3 linked regions of the Saccharomyces cerevisiae S288C genome follow. The main gene of each other region encodes a partner of the protein of the gene in region 2 in a complex. Each region holds a gene or a part of one and is shown on either strand. Other genes may lie near its edges. The genes, in order: POT1, PEX21 and PEX7. A codon is read from its position in the direction of its gene.

What was found.
Region 1: the proteins of PEX21 (region 2) and POT1 are in contact, whole or in part, in a crystal structure (PDB 3W15), measured with the Saccharomyces cerevisiae proteins. Residues at the interface, in NP_011755.3 of Saccharomyces cerevisiae: Leu199 (codon at 2,327), Ile202 (codon at 2,336), Ala203 (codon at 2,339), Asp205 (codon at 2,345), Ile206 (codon at 2,348), Cys209 (codon at 2,357), Cys210 (codon at 2,360), Thr211 (codon at 2,363), Leu231 (codon at 2,423), Phe236 (codon at 2,438), Met240 (codon at 2,450), Ile243 (codon at 2,459), Leu250 (codon at 2,480), Leu262 (codon at 2,516); in NP_012106.1 of Saccharomyces cerevisiae: Met1 (codon at 1,857), Ser2 (codon at 1,854), Leu5 (codon at 1,845), Gln6 (codon at 1,842), Ile8 (codon at 1,836), Lys9 (codon at 1,833), Leu12 (codon at 1,824), Val13 (codon at 1,821).
Region 3: the proteins of PEX21 (region 2) and PEX7 are in contact, whole or in part, in a crystal structure (PDB 3W15), measured with the Saccharomyces cerevisiae proteins. Residues at the interface, in NP_011755.3 of Saccharomyces cerevisiae: Val227 (codon at 2,411), Lys230 (codon at 2,420), Leu231 (codon at 2,423), Ser234 (codon at 2,432), Lys235 (codon at 2,435), Phe236 (codon at 2,438), Leu239 (codon at 2,447), Leu250 (codon at 2,480), Ser260 (codon at 2,510), Glu261 (codon at 2,513), Leu262 (codon at 2,516), Val271 (codon at 2,543), Gly272 (codon at 2,546), Asn273 (codon at 2,549), Arg274 (codon at 2,552), His275 (codon at 2,555), Ile276 (codon at 2,558), Phe277 (codon at 2,561), Val278 (codon at 2,564), Lys279 (codon at 2,567), Asp280 (codon at 2,570), Glu281 (codon at 2,573), Ile282 (codon at 2,576), His283 (codon at 2,579), Ile286 (codon at 2,588), Leu287 (codon at 2,591), Asp288 (codon at 2,594); in NP_010426.1 of Saccharomyces cerevisiae: Gln7 (codon at 2,024), Gly8 (codon at 2,027), Phe9 (codon at 2,030), Ser30 (codon at 2,093), Asn31 (codon at 2,096), Phe32 (codon at 2,099), Leu34 (codon at 2,105), Val35 (codon at 2,108), Gly36 (codon at 2,111), Asn37 (codon at 2,114), Leu58 (codon at 2,177), Thr59 (codon at 2,180), Gln60 (codon at 2,183), His72 (codon at 2,219), Arg86 (codon at 2,261), Asp89 (codon at 2,270), Thr91 (codon at 2,276), Phe92 (codon at 2,279), Lys93 (codon at 2,282), Phe95 (codon at 2,288), Pro96 (codon at 2,291), Ile97 (codon at 2,294), Ala98 (codon at 2,297), Ile99 (codon at 2,300), Leu284 (codon at 2,855), Asp305 (codon at 2,918), Met306 (codon at 2,921), Thr339 (codon at 3,020), His341 (codon at 3,026), Ser342 (codon at 3,029).

The regions. Positions count from the first base shown.
Region 1 is NC_001141.2:39,588-43,079, forward strand, and holds POT1 (acetyl-CoA C-acyltransferase), read right to left. Parts: upstream 1,858-3,492; coding exon 604-1,857; downstream 1-603. Other genes in the region: SMU2 (Smu2p), read left to right, coding at 1-553; formin BNR1, read left to right, coding at 2,238-3,492. UniProt on the Saccharomyces cerevisiae protein: Responsible for the thiolytic cleavage of straight chain 3-keto fatty acyl-CoAs (3-oxoacyl-CoAs).
Region 2 is NC_001139.9:968,593-971,785, reverse strand, and holds PEX21 (Pex21p), read left to right. Parts: upstream 1-1,732; coding exon 1,733-2,599; downstream 2,600-3,193. Other genes in the region: PFK1 (6-phosphofructokinase subunit alpha), read left to right, coding at 1-1,015; KEL2 (Kel2p), read left to right, coding at 3,099-3,193. UniProt on the Saccharomyces cerevisiae protein: Receptor that mediates peroxisomal import of proteins containing a C-terminal PTS2-type peroxisomal targeting signal via its interaction with PEX7.
Region 3 is NC_001136.10:739,970-743,605, reverse strand, and holds PEX7 (Pex7p), read left to right. Parts: upstream 1-2,005; coding exon 2,006-3,133; downstream 3,134-3,636. Other genes in the region: ubiquitin-protein ligase SAN1, read left to right, coding at 1-1,564; DOP1 (Dop1p), read left to right, coding at 3,609-3,636. UniProt on the Saccharomyces cerevisiae protein: Receptor required for the peroxisomal import of proteins containing a C-terminal PTS2-type peroxisomal targeting signal, such as 3-oxoacyl-CoA thiolase. Specifically binds to cargo proteins containing a PTS2 peroxisomal targeting signal in the cytosol.

The sequences.
Region 1 (3,492 bases), on a different chromosome or scaffold from region 2:
GACAGAGACAAAGGAACAAAATGAACCTAAACCTGTGACTGGAGGGGAAGAAGTGAGAGTCGAGAAATCTCAAGCGAAAAACAGAAGGCGGAAAAACAATAATGGAGCTAATAAAAAGAATACCCTACACTACTCAAAGGAAATTAATGTAGAAGAGCGAAAACAAATCGCAAAAAGGCAAGAAGAAATCGAACAATGCATTCACACCTTATCCGATTTTAAACTGTTTAAAAAGGGTAAGCACGTTACCTCATATGGCTATCGAATCTCCCCCATGACAGACTCCGGTAAGATTTCTTTGAAAATTTTATTCAACATACCTTTGGATTATCCAAAGGCCCCAATAAAACTAACGATGAAAAGTAATGAAGAAGTTTCCTCTTACATGGACACCGTGATAGCGAATTTCAACTGGAAAGCCCGTCAATTGGTTAAGGAGGACTGGAGGATATTATCTCAAATAAACTATTTGGTTAGTGAGTTAGAAATATTGAAAATGGAAAATTATAAACAAATTGATAAACTACGTAATAGCTTTTACAAAACCATATAAATATGAGCATAATAAAAAGGGAGAATATTAACTATTATCAAGTATTAAAACTATTCTTTAATAAAGATGGCGGCGGCACCCATACCAGTACCGATACACATACTAACAACCCCGATTTGATCCTTTTTCAGTTCTCTTAGTATGGTAGCTACTTGCCTTGCGCCAGTACAACCCAAGGGATGGCCTAACGCGATTGCACCACCTCTTGGATTTACTTTATTCAAATCGATGCCCAGTTTATGGATGCAGTATAATGCTTGGGCCGCGAATGCTTCATTTATTTCAAAAATATCGATATCTTGGACTTGCAAGCCAGTAGCTTCCAGGACTTTTGGTATGGCGTATGCAGGGCCCACACCCATGATTTCAGGGGGAACCCCCACTGTTTGAAAATCGATGTAGCGACCTAGCACAGGCAGATTTAACTGGTTGGCTACGGACCTGCGGGCTAACAAGACACCTGCCACACCATCGGAGACCTGGGATGCATTGCCCGCAGTTGTGGTTCCTCTGTCTTTGATAAAGGCAGGCCTGATGCTTGAAAGCGACTCCGCAGTGACGTTAGGGCGTGGCCCTTCGTCCGACTGGCAAATTGAGCCATCTGGTAATTTTATAGGTAAAATTTCATCTTCGAAAAGCCCCTCATTTTTCGCCTTGTAAGCTTTTTGATATGAATTCGCAGCGAACTCGTCTTGATCCTTTCTACTGATCTTGAAATTAGCGGCAACATTCTCATTAGTAATGCCCATTGGTATTAGACATTTCTTCGCTTCTCGGTTTTTTTGCAGCTCTTCAGAGGAGATCATGCCCAAGGGATTGACGTTTTTGTAGTTATTGGTCATTGATTCCACTCCCAGCGCCAAACCAATATCAATTTGCCCAACCTTAATCTTGTTGGCAATATCGTTCACCGCCGTTAAACCTGAAGAACATTGTCTGTTTAAAGCGACAAATGGCGTCGAGTAGGGAATCCCACTTGCCAAGCATGCAGCCCTGTGTTCTGTAGCACCGGCTCCAACATTGAGAACATTTCCACAGGCAACTTCTTCGATTAAGTTCAAATCAGCCCTCAAAGGTTCCGGAAACCTCCCGATGAACTCATTGAGAAAGTTGTATAATAAGTAGTCTGTGTTTACATCTTTGAAGGCACCTTTAAAACCTTTACCGATGGCAGACCTGTTAGCAGCCACAATAACTACATCTTCGGGTCTTTTCTCCAGCAACGAGTTCTTCCTCTTCGATTCACCCTTACCCATGGCGCTCTCCACCAAATGATCCTTGATACTTTGTAGTCTTTGAGACATTGCTTTTATGTAGTGTTATATTCACTCTGTACTCAGAGCCACAAGAAATAACCATTCGATTTCAATAGAACTGAGATGCAAAAGTATACCCTATTTATATCTCTTCTTTCTAGTAAAACTCCAATAAATTTGAAACCAATAGAGGGAGAAAGGAAAAAAAAGCTGCGGTGTTAATACTATTATCCCCGTTTCCCTTTGATAGCGCCTTACACGGCGCTACCACATCATTACCCTCCTCATGTTGACGCGTCAAGTTTTTTTTCTTTTTTCGCTATTTGTGGCATAGGTTCAAAACTAGCAAATTCTTGATCTTTTGAAGATTACATAGTGATGATGATCGTGACACAAAAGCAGATAAAAAAATAGCACAATCATCAGCGATGGACTCTTCCCCGAACAAGAAGACGTACCGCTACCCTCGCAGATCGCTGTCACTTCACGCGCGTGATAGGGTCAGCGAAGCCCGTAAATTGGAAGAATTGAATTTGAACGATGGGCTGGTTGCCGCTGGCTTGCAGTTGGTCGGTGTAGCGTTAGAGAAACAAGGTACAGGATCACATATATACATGAAACAGAAGAATTTCTCAGCTAATGACGTTTCTTCGTCACCAATGGTTTCCGAAGAAGTGAACGGATCGGAAATGGATTTTAATCCGAAGTGCATGCCTCAGGACGCATCACTCGTCGAAAGAATGTTTGATGAGCTTTTAAAAGATGGAACTTTTTTTTGGGGGGCTGCTTATAAGAATTTACAAAACATCTCTCTACGAAGGAAATGGTTATTGATATGTAAAATCCGTAGTTCCAATCATTGGGGGAAAAAGAAAGTGACTTCGAGCACGACATACTCTACACATTTGGCCACTAATGAACTAGCTGAAAACGCACACTTTTTGGATGGCCTAGTTAGAAACCTTTCAACAGGTGGCATGAAGTTATCGAAGGCTCTATATAAACTAGAAAAATTCCTGCGAAAGCAAAGCTTTTTGCAACTTTTTCTCAAGGATGAAATTTACTTGACGACATTGATCGAAAAGACTTTGCCACTCATATCCAAGGAATTACAATTTGTTTATCTTCGGTGCTTTAAAATACTGATGAACAACCCACTGGCGAGAATAAGAGCACTACATTCTGAGCCTTTAATTCGCTGGTTCACCGAGCTTCTGACGGATCAAAATTCTAATTTGAAATGTCAGTTACTTTCTATGGAGTTACTTTTATTATTAACGTATGTTGAGGGTTCCACGGGTTGTGAGTTGATATGGGACCAGCTTTCCATATTATTCACCGATTGGCTAGAATGGTTTGACAAAATCCTTGCGGATGATATTGCAATTCATTCATCCCTTTATTTGAACTGGAACCAATTAAAAATAGACTATTCGACAACTTTCCTACTGCTAATAAACTCCATACTGCAAGGTTTCAACAACAAGACTGCACTAGAAATTTTGAATTTTTTGAAAAAGAATAATATACATAACACTATCACATTTTTAGAACTGGCCTATAAAGATGATCCTAATAGTGTCGTGATCATGGAACAAATAAAACAATTCAAATCCAAAGAATCTGCGATATTTGACTCGATGATAAAAACTACCAACGATACGAATTCGCTTCACCCAACAA
Region 2 (3,193 bases):
CGAAAACTGGCATAACTTGGGTGGTTCCGAAATCGGTACGAACAGATCTGTTGCTTCAGAAGATTTGGGTACCATTGCTTACTACTTCCAAAAGAACAAGCTAGACGGTTTGATTATTCTTGGTGGTTTTGAAGGTTTCAGGTCCTTGAAGCAATTGCGTGACGGTAGAACCCAACACCCAATCTTTAACATTCCAATGTGTTTGATTCCAGCCACTGTTTCTAACAACGTTCCAGGTACTGAATACTCACTTGGTGTTGATACCTGTTTGAACGCATTAGTCAATTACACTGATGACATCAAACAGAGTGCTTCTGCGACAAGAAGAAGAGTCTTCGTCTGTGAAGTCCAAGGTGGTCACTCTGGTTACATCGCTTCTTTCACTGGTTTAATCACTGGTGCTGTTTCAGTGTACACTCCAGAAAAGAAGATCGACTTAGCTTCTATCAGAGAAGATATAACTCTATTAAAAGAGAACTTTCGTCACGACAAAGGTGAAAACAGAAACGGTAAGCTATTGGTTAGAAACGAACAAGCTTCTAGCGTATATAGCACTCAATTGTTGGCTGACATCATCTCTGAAGCAAGCAAGGGTAAGTTTGGTGTTAGAACTGCTATCCCAGGCCATGTTCAACAAGGTGGTGTTCCATCTTCTAAAGACCGTGTCACCGCTTCCAGATTTGCTGTCAAATGTATCAAGTTTATCGAACAATGGAACAAGAAAAATGAAGCTTCTCCAAACACTGACGCTAAGGTTTTGAGATTCAAGTTCGATACTCACGGTGAAAAGGTACCAACTGTTGAGCACGAAGATGACTCTGCTGCTGTTATCTGTGTTAATGGTTCTCACGTTTCCTTCAAGCCAATTGCTAACCTTTGGGAAAACGAAACCAACGTTGAATTAAGAAAGGGTTTTGAAGTTCACTGGGCTGAATACAACAAGATTGGTGACATCCTGTCCGGTAGATTAAAGTTGAGAGCTGAGGTAGCCGCTTTAGCCGCTGAAAACAAATGAATGATTGCAATGAAAAGTTTAAGTTAAGCAAAAGGAGGTAAAAATGGCATGCACTTTAATTTTTATACAATCGTTTTTTTGTCATAAGACTTATTTATGTATCTGTTGTTTTTCTTTTTCTATCCTCTATTTTTGTCTATTTGTCTTTGTTTTACTCTTTTTCATTATTATTTCTTTATATAATTTTTGTACGATATGATACACATAACAATGAGCAATGAACATATTTCTAATCCTAACCATTAGATATACTTTTCAACTGAGGAATAATGGCGCCTTGATTAAACTAAGCTATGGAATTTGCATTATTCAAGTTTTAGGGTGTGCTTAATCTGCGTTGACAATGGTTCACGAAGACGACATCGGCAACTTTGCTGTACTACAAATTGCTCTGAATGTGAGGCTGATCCACATCATAGTGAGGCGCGCTACCTTAATTGTAGTCGTATTGTCATCGGTCTACGAATACCGTTTGGTTTATTTGTCGGCCTTTTTTCTTTCCGTTTCTTTTTATCTTTCCGCTGGAAAAATGGAAACTAGTGCCGATAATCGGAGATGGGATGACTAAATATTTCTTTAAGGCATTGGCAATGTTCAAACCTCTGATAGAACGGCAGATATATATTTAAGAGAATATAGTCAAGGTTGACGCCGCATACTTTGGTTTTGTTTCAAAAAGAAACAGGTGAAAAATTATAAAGACCAAACTAGAATACCATGCCCAGTGTCTGCCATACAAGCCCGATAGAAAAGATTATCCAACAAGGGCATCGCATACAGAATGATTCCTTAATACCGTCAAAACGCACCAAGCTGGCCCATACGGAATTAACAGCACACTATGCCACTGAAGACTCGCATGTGGAAAAACACTTTTTGCATAATGGTAGTAATTTTGACGGCATTGACAATGTAAGGTATCAAAATCAACCCTCTCCATTAACCTTCATTACTCCAAACAACACTGTAGATTCCAGTGATTGGGTTCCGCAGTTCTCGTCTATGAAGATTGACGATTCACTAGAGTTTAGCTCAGAATATAAAAGGTTGTATTCCAATTACGAGTCACAGCAGCGCCTGAATTCAAGCAGACAACACTTACCTTTTAAGAATTGTATGATAAGGAAGACAAGTTGCACTTACCCACCTCAAAAGACGCTTCGACAGCAACGCCAAGGAAACCGGGACAACCCAACGGATGCGTTTCAATTCGACGCGGAGTTCCAAGTTTTGGAGAGAGAAATTCAAAAAGAGCGGTACGAGCCCATAACACGTCGGGACGAGAAATGGTTCGACCAAGATCAGTCGGAACTGCAAAGGATTGCCACAGATATAGTAAAATGCTGTACTCCACCGCCTTCGTCTGCATCCTCCTCTTCTACTCTTTCCTCCTCTGTCGAATCAAAACTATCTGAGTCGAAGTTTATTCAGTTAATGAGAAACATTAGTAGCGGTGACGTGACTTTAAAGAAAAATGCAGATGGAAATTCCGCAAGCGAGTTATTCTCATCCAACAACGGGGAACTGGTCGGAAACAGGCACATTTTCGTCAAGGACGAAATTCACAAAGACATACTTGATTGATATAGGCAGTTTCTACAATTGTACCTCTTGTAACTACTACATACGTTGATATATGTTTACAGATAGCTAAGAATATCAAAATCATGAATATGTGCCCTTATGTGTTCTCTGCGCTGAGGAGTATCGCAGCTTCACTCCTGCAGATGCATGCCCTACCTACTGTCATGCCCATCTCTCTCGTTTAAAACTTACTACACCTTTTTTGTGCATGGATTGTGCTGATGTAAGCTGCACGAAATGACACGCTTGTGAATTTTTTCTTCTCTTGGGAGAAACTGTGAAGAAAAAAAAAAAAGCTTCGCAAAACCCGAATTAGTCTCGAAGGAAGTAATTACCTTGTGAAAGGGTCTTTTGGGATACTAATTTATTATGAAGTTTGGTTTTGGTGTTGCTTGCTCTTTTTTTTTTCAATTTTGAAATGCGTACACGTGAATTTTAGCATAGGTTGTAACAAAAAAAAAAAATGATTTGGATGAGGCAGGCAACCCCTTAAGTAGCTATGGTACCTTTCAAGCTGACAAATAAGGTACCTACGGACACGGGACCTTCTCTGATTTCAGCGCAAAGTGTACCCAGACCAATAGTTTTTATGGA
Region 3 (3,636 bases), on a different chromosome or scaffold from region 2:
AAATGGGGGCCATCAACCCGACGGTGCTCTTGTTTTATCTTTTCGTGATGTTCCTGCGTCTACTCCACAAGACCGTTTGAACAGCTTCATATCTGTTGCTGCTCAGCTTGCAATGGAGAGATTCAACAGACTATTAAATAGACCAAAAGGAATATCAAAGGATGAGTTTGATAAGCTCCCCGTTCTGCAAGTTTCTGATCTACCCAAGGCCGAAGGGCCCTTATGTAGTATATGTTATGACGAATATGAAGATGAAGTTGATTCAACTAAAGCAAAAAGAAAAAGGGATTCTGAAAATGAGGAGGAATCTGAAGGAACAAAAAAAAGGAAGGATAATGAAGGTGCGCCCCTACGCACAACCGCCGATAATGACAGTAACCCATCGATTACAAATGCTACGGTTGTTGAACCGCCTTCTATTCCTCTCACTGAACAACAACGCACTCTCAATGATGAAGAAACAAATCCAAGCTACAAACACTCACCAATCAAGTTACCTTGTGGCCACATTTTTGGGAGGGAATGTATCTACAAATGGTCAAGATTAGAAAATTCTTGTCCCCTTTGTAGACAAAAGATCAGCGAATCTGTAGGTGTTCAACGTGCAGCCCAACAAGATACGGATGAAGTAGCAGCTAACGAAGCTGCTTTTGAACGTATTAGACGAGTTTTATACGACCCAACTGCAGTGAATAGCACTAACGAAAATAGTTCCGCCCCATCCGAAAACACGTCCAATACAACGGTTCCCACTATCGGAAATGCAAGTTCTGGCGAACAGATGTTATCAAGAACAGGCTTTTTTTTAGTGCCTCAAAACGGCCAACCTTTACACAATCCAGTCCGTTTACCGCCTAATGATAGCGATAGAAACGGTGTCAACGGGCCGAGCTCAACTACTCAAAATCCACCCTCTAATTCTGGTGGTTCGAATAACAATCAAAGTCCGCGCTGGGTTCCCATCCCTTTGACTTTGTTCCAATTCCACAGTCCAAATCCGAATCCTTCCGCTTCTGATTCTTCGGCAAGCCCATCAGCAGCGAACGGTCCAAACTCAAATAACACTAGTAGTGACGCTACAGACCCTCACCACAACAGACTAAGAGCCGTTTTGGATCACATATTCAACGTTGCTCAGAGGGGAACTTCTGATACCTCTGCAACAACAGCACCCGGAGCACAAACTGTTCACAACCAAGGACGTAATGACTCATCGTCCTCTGATACAACGCAAGGAAGTTCCTTTTTGGAAAATATTTCACGATTAACAGGCCATTTTACGAATGGCTCAAGAGACAACAATAACGACAATAACCATAGCAATGATCAACAACGAGGTGGAAGTACTGGTGAGAACAACAGAAATAACTTGTTTTCCTCCGGTGTTGCCAGTTATAGAAATCAAAATGGTGATGTTACTACCGTCGAACTACGCAACAACAATTCTGCTGCCTTTCCTCCTACAGACGAAAATCCCTCTCAAGGCCAAGGTTCAAGCAGTTCGGACACCACCATTCATAACGACGTCCCTAATGATAACAATGAGCAACGATCATCACAATAAACAATACCGCTTCTGAAGTATGTTAATATGAAAATATGTCCTATTGGCAGTCATCCATTTTCAGACATTATTTTCTACTCCTTTTACCTTTTTTTTATCTGCATCTTTATATATATATATCATATACTTATTTTTCTTTACTTCTACTTAAAGTTCTATAATCATTGTTAATCAGAAATTTGCATGTCTCCAGCAAGTAAATATGAAGGCCGAGAAATTAAACCACCGACATAACCTCCTCTGAAAAGTCGTTTCGCAAAACAGTAAAAGGTGAAAACACTTTTAAGAACTGTGGAACACAAACTGTGTTTTCTTACCATAAAATCTTTTACCGGAGGTCGAAATCGTTTTCTTTCTGATTTGGAATTCGACGCTCGAAAAGTGCAGAGATCTCATATTGTTAACGGACTATCATCTAACTTTTTGCATAATTTATACAACATGCTCAGATATCATATGCAAGGTTTTAGTGGGTACGGTGTCCAGTATTCTCCCTTTTTCGATAACAGGCTCGCGGTAGCTGCTGGTTCAAACTTTGGCCTGGTTGGGAATGGAAAATTGTTCATCCTTGAGATTGATCGTTCAGGTAGAATAGTGGAAGTTAATTCCTTTTTAACACAGGATTGTTTATTTGATCTTGCATGGAACGAAAGTCATGAAAACCAAGTGTTGGTTGCACAGGGCGATGGTACATTACGCTTGTTTGATACAACCTTTAAAGAGTTTCCTATTGCTATATTTAAAGAGCATGAACGAGAAGTATTCAGTTGTAATTGGAACTTAGTCAACAGGCAGAATTTCTTAAGTAGTTCATGGGATGGATCTATAAAAATATGGTCCCCTCTAAGAAAGCAAAGTTTAATGACCCTTACTCCACGACCTTTAGAGATTACCAAAATGGTGGATCCATTAAACGCCATTATATTGAAAAAGAAAAGCTTTACAGGTATTTCAAAAAACAGGAACTGTGTATACCAAGCACAGTTCTCGCCCCACGACCAAAATCTCGTATTATCCTGTTCAGGGAATTCTTATGCAAGCTTATTTGACATTAGACTACCTTCCGGCAAAAATCAGAATAATTTTTTAGTGCATTCAGGACTAGAAGCATTGACTTGCGATTTCAACAAATACAGACCTTATGTAGTTGCCACAGGAGGTGTAGATAATGCCATTAGAATCTGGGACATTAGGATGCTAAATAAAAATGAATCAGCGACTATCAAGAGGACTGTGCCCGGCCAACTTCACAATTCATCATGCATCAATGAAATCCCTAATGCGCACGGGCTGGCAATCAGAAAAGTTACCTGGTCCCCTCATCATTCCAATATTTTAATGTCAGCTTCATATGATATGACCTGTCGAATATGGAGAGATCTCAGCAACGATGGTGCAAAAGAAACATATAAAACTAACTCTACGGATGCTACTAAAGGTTCCATTTTCAATTTCACACAGCATTCAGAATTCGTATTTGGAGCTGACTGGAGCTTGTGGGGAAAGCCAGGATATGTGGCTTCAACTGCATGGGATGGAAATTTATTTGTATGGAACGGCTTAGGTTGACACATATTCTTTTTACACAAATTTTTTGCATTATTTAAACTTTAAAATTATTTTTCAATCATTGTCAGCATTTGGCAGATCATTTACGTAATTATTTAATATTCTCAACACGAAATTATGGGTAACAACGCTTCTGACTGTGCAAAAGAACATTCTAAAAACATACCTACGGCAAAAACTGCTAATTACTCAAATTAATCAAGTTTTTATAACGACATAAGCGAGTGCTGAAAGAAGGAATATTTAGAGTCCGATTACCGTTTTATTAATAAACGACATACTTATATATTTGCTGGGCGTTCCACCCGAGGCACGTGATCAAAAGTGATTTTGGTTTTTTCAAAGGCTAAGCTTCGATCTCACTGGAAAAGGAACAATAGCAATACCTAATATAAAACTCAAGCCTCCCAATTATGTTTATAACGGTGAAATAAAAAGCCGACAGAGCAGCTTTTTCTGAGAGGATCGACAAAAAATGTCCTTACCACTAAAGCCCCTTACAA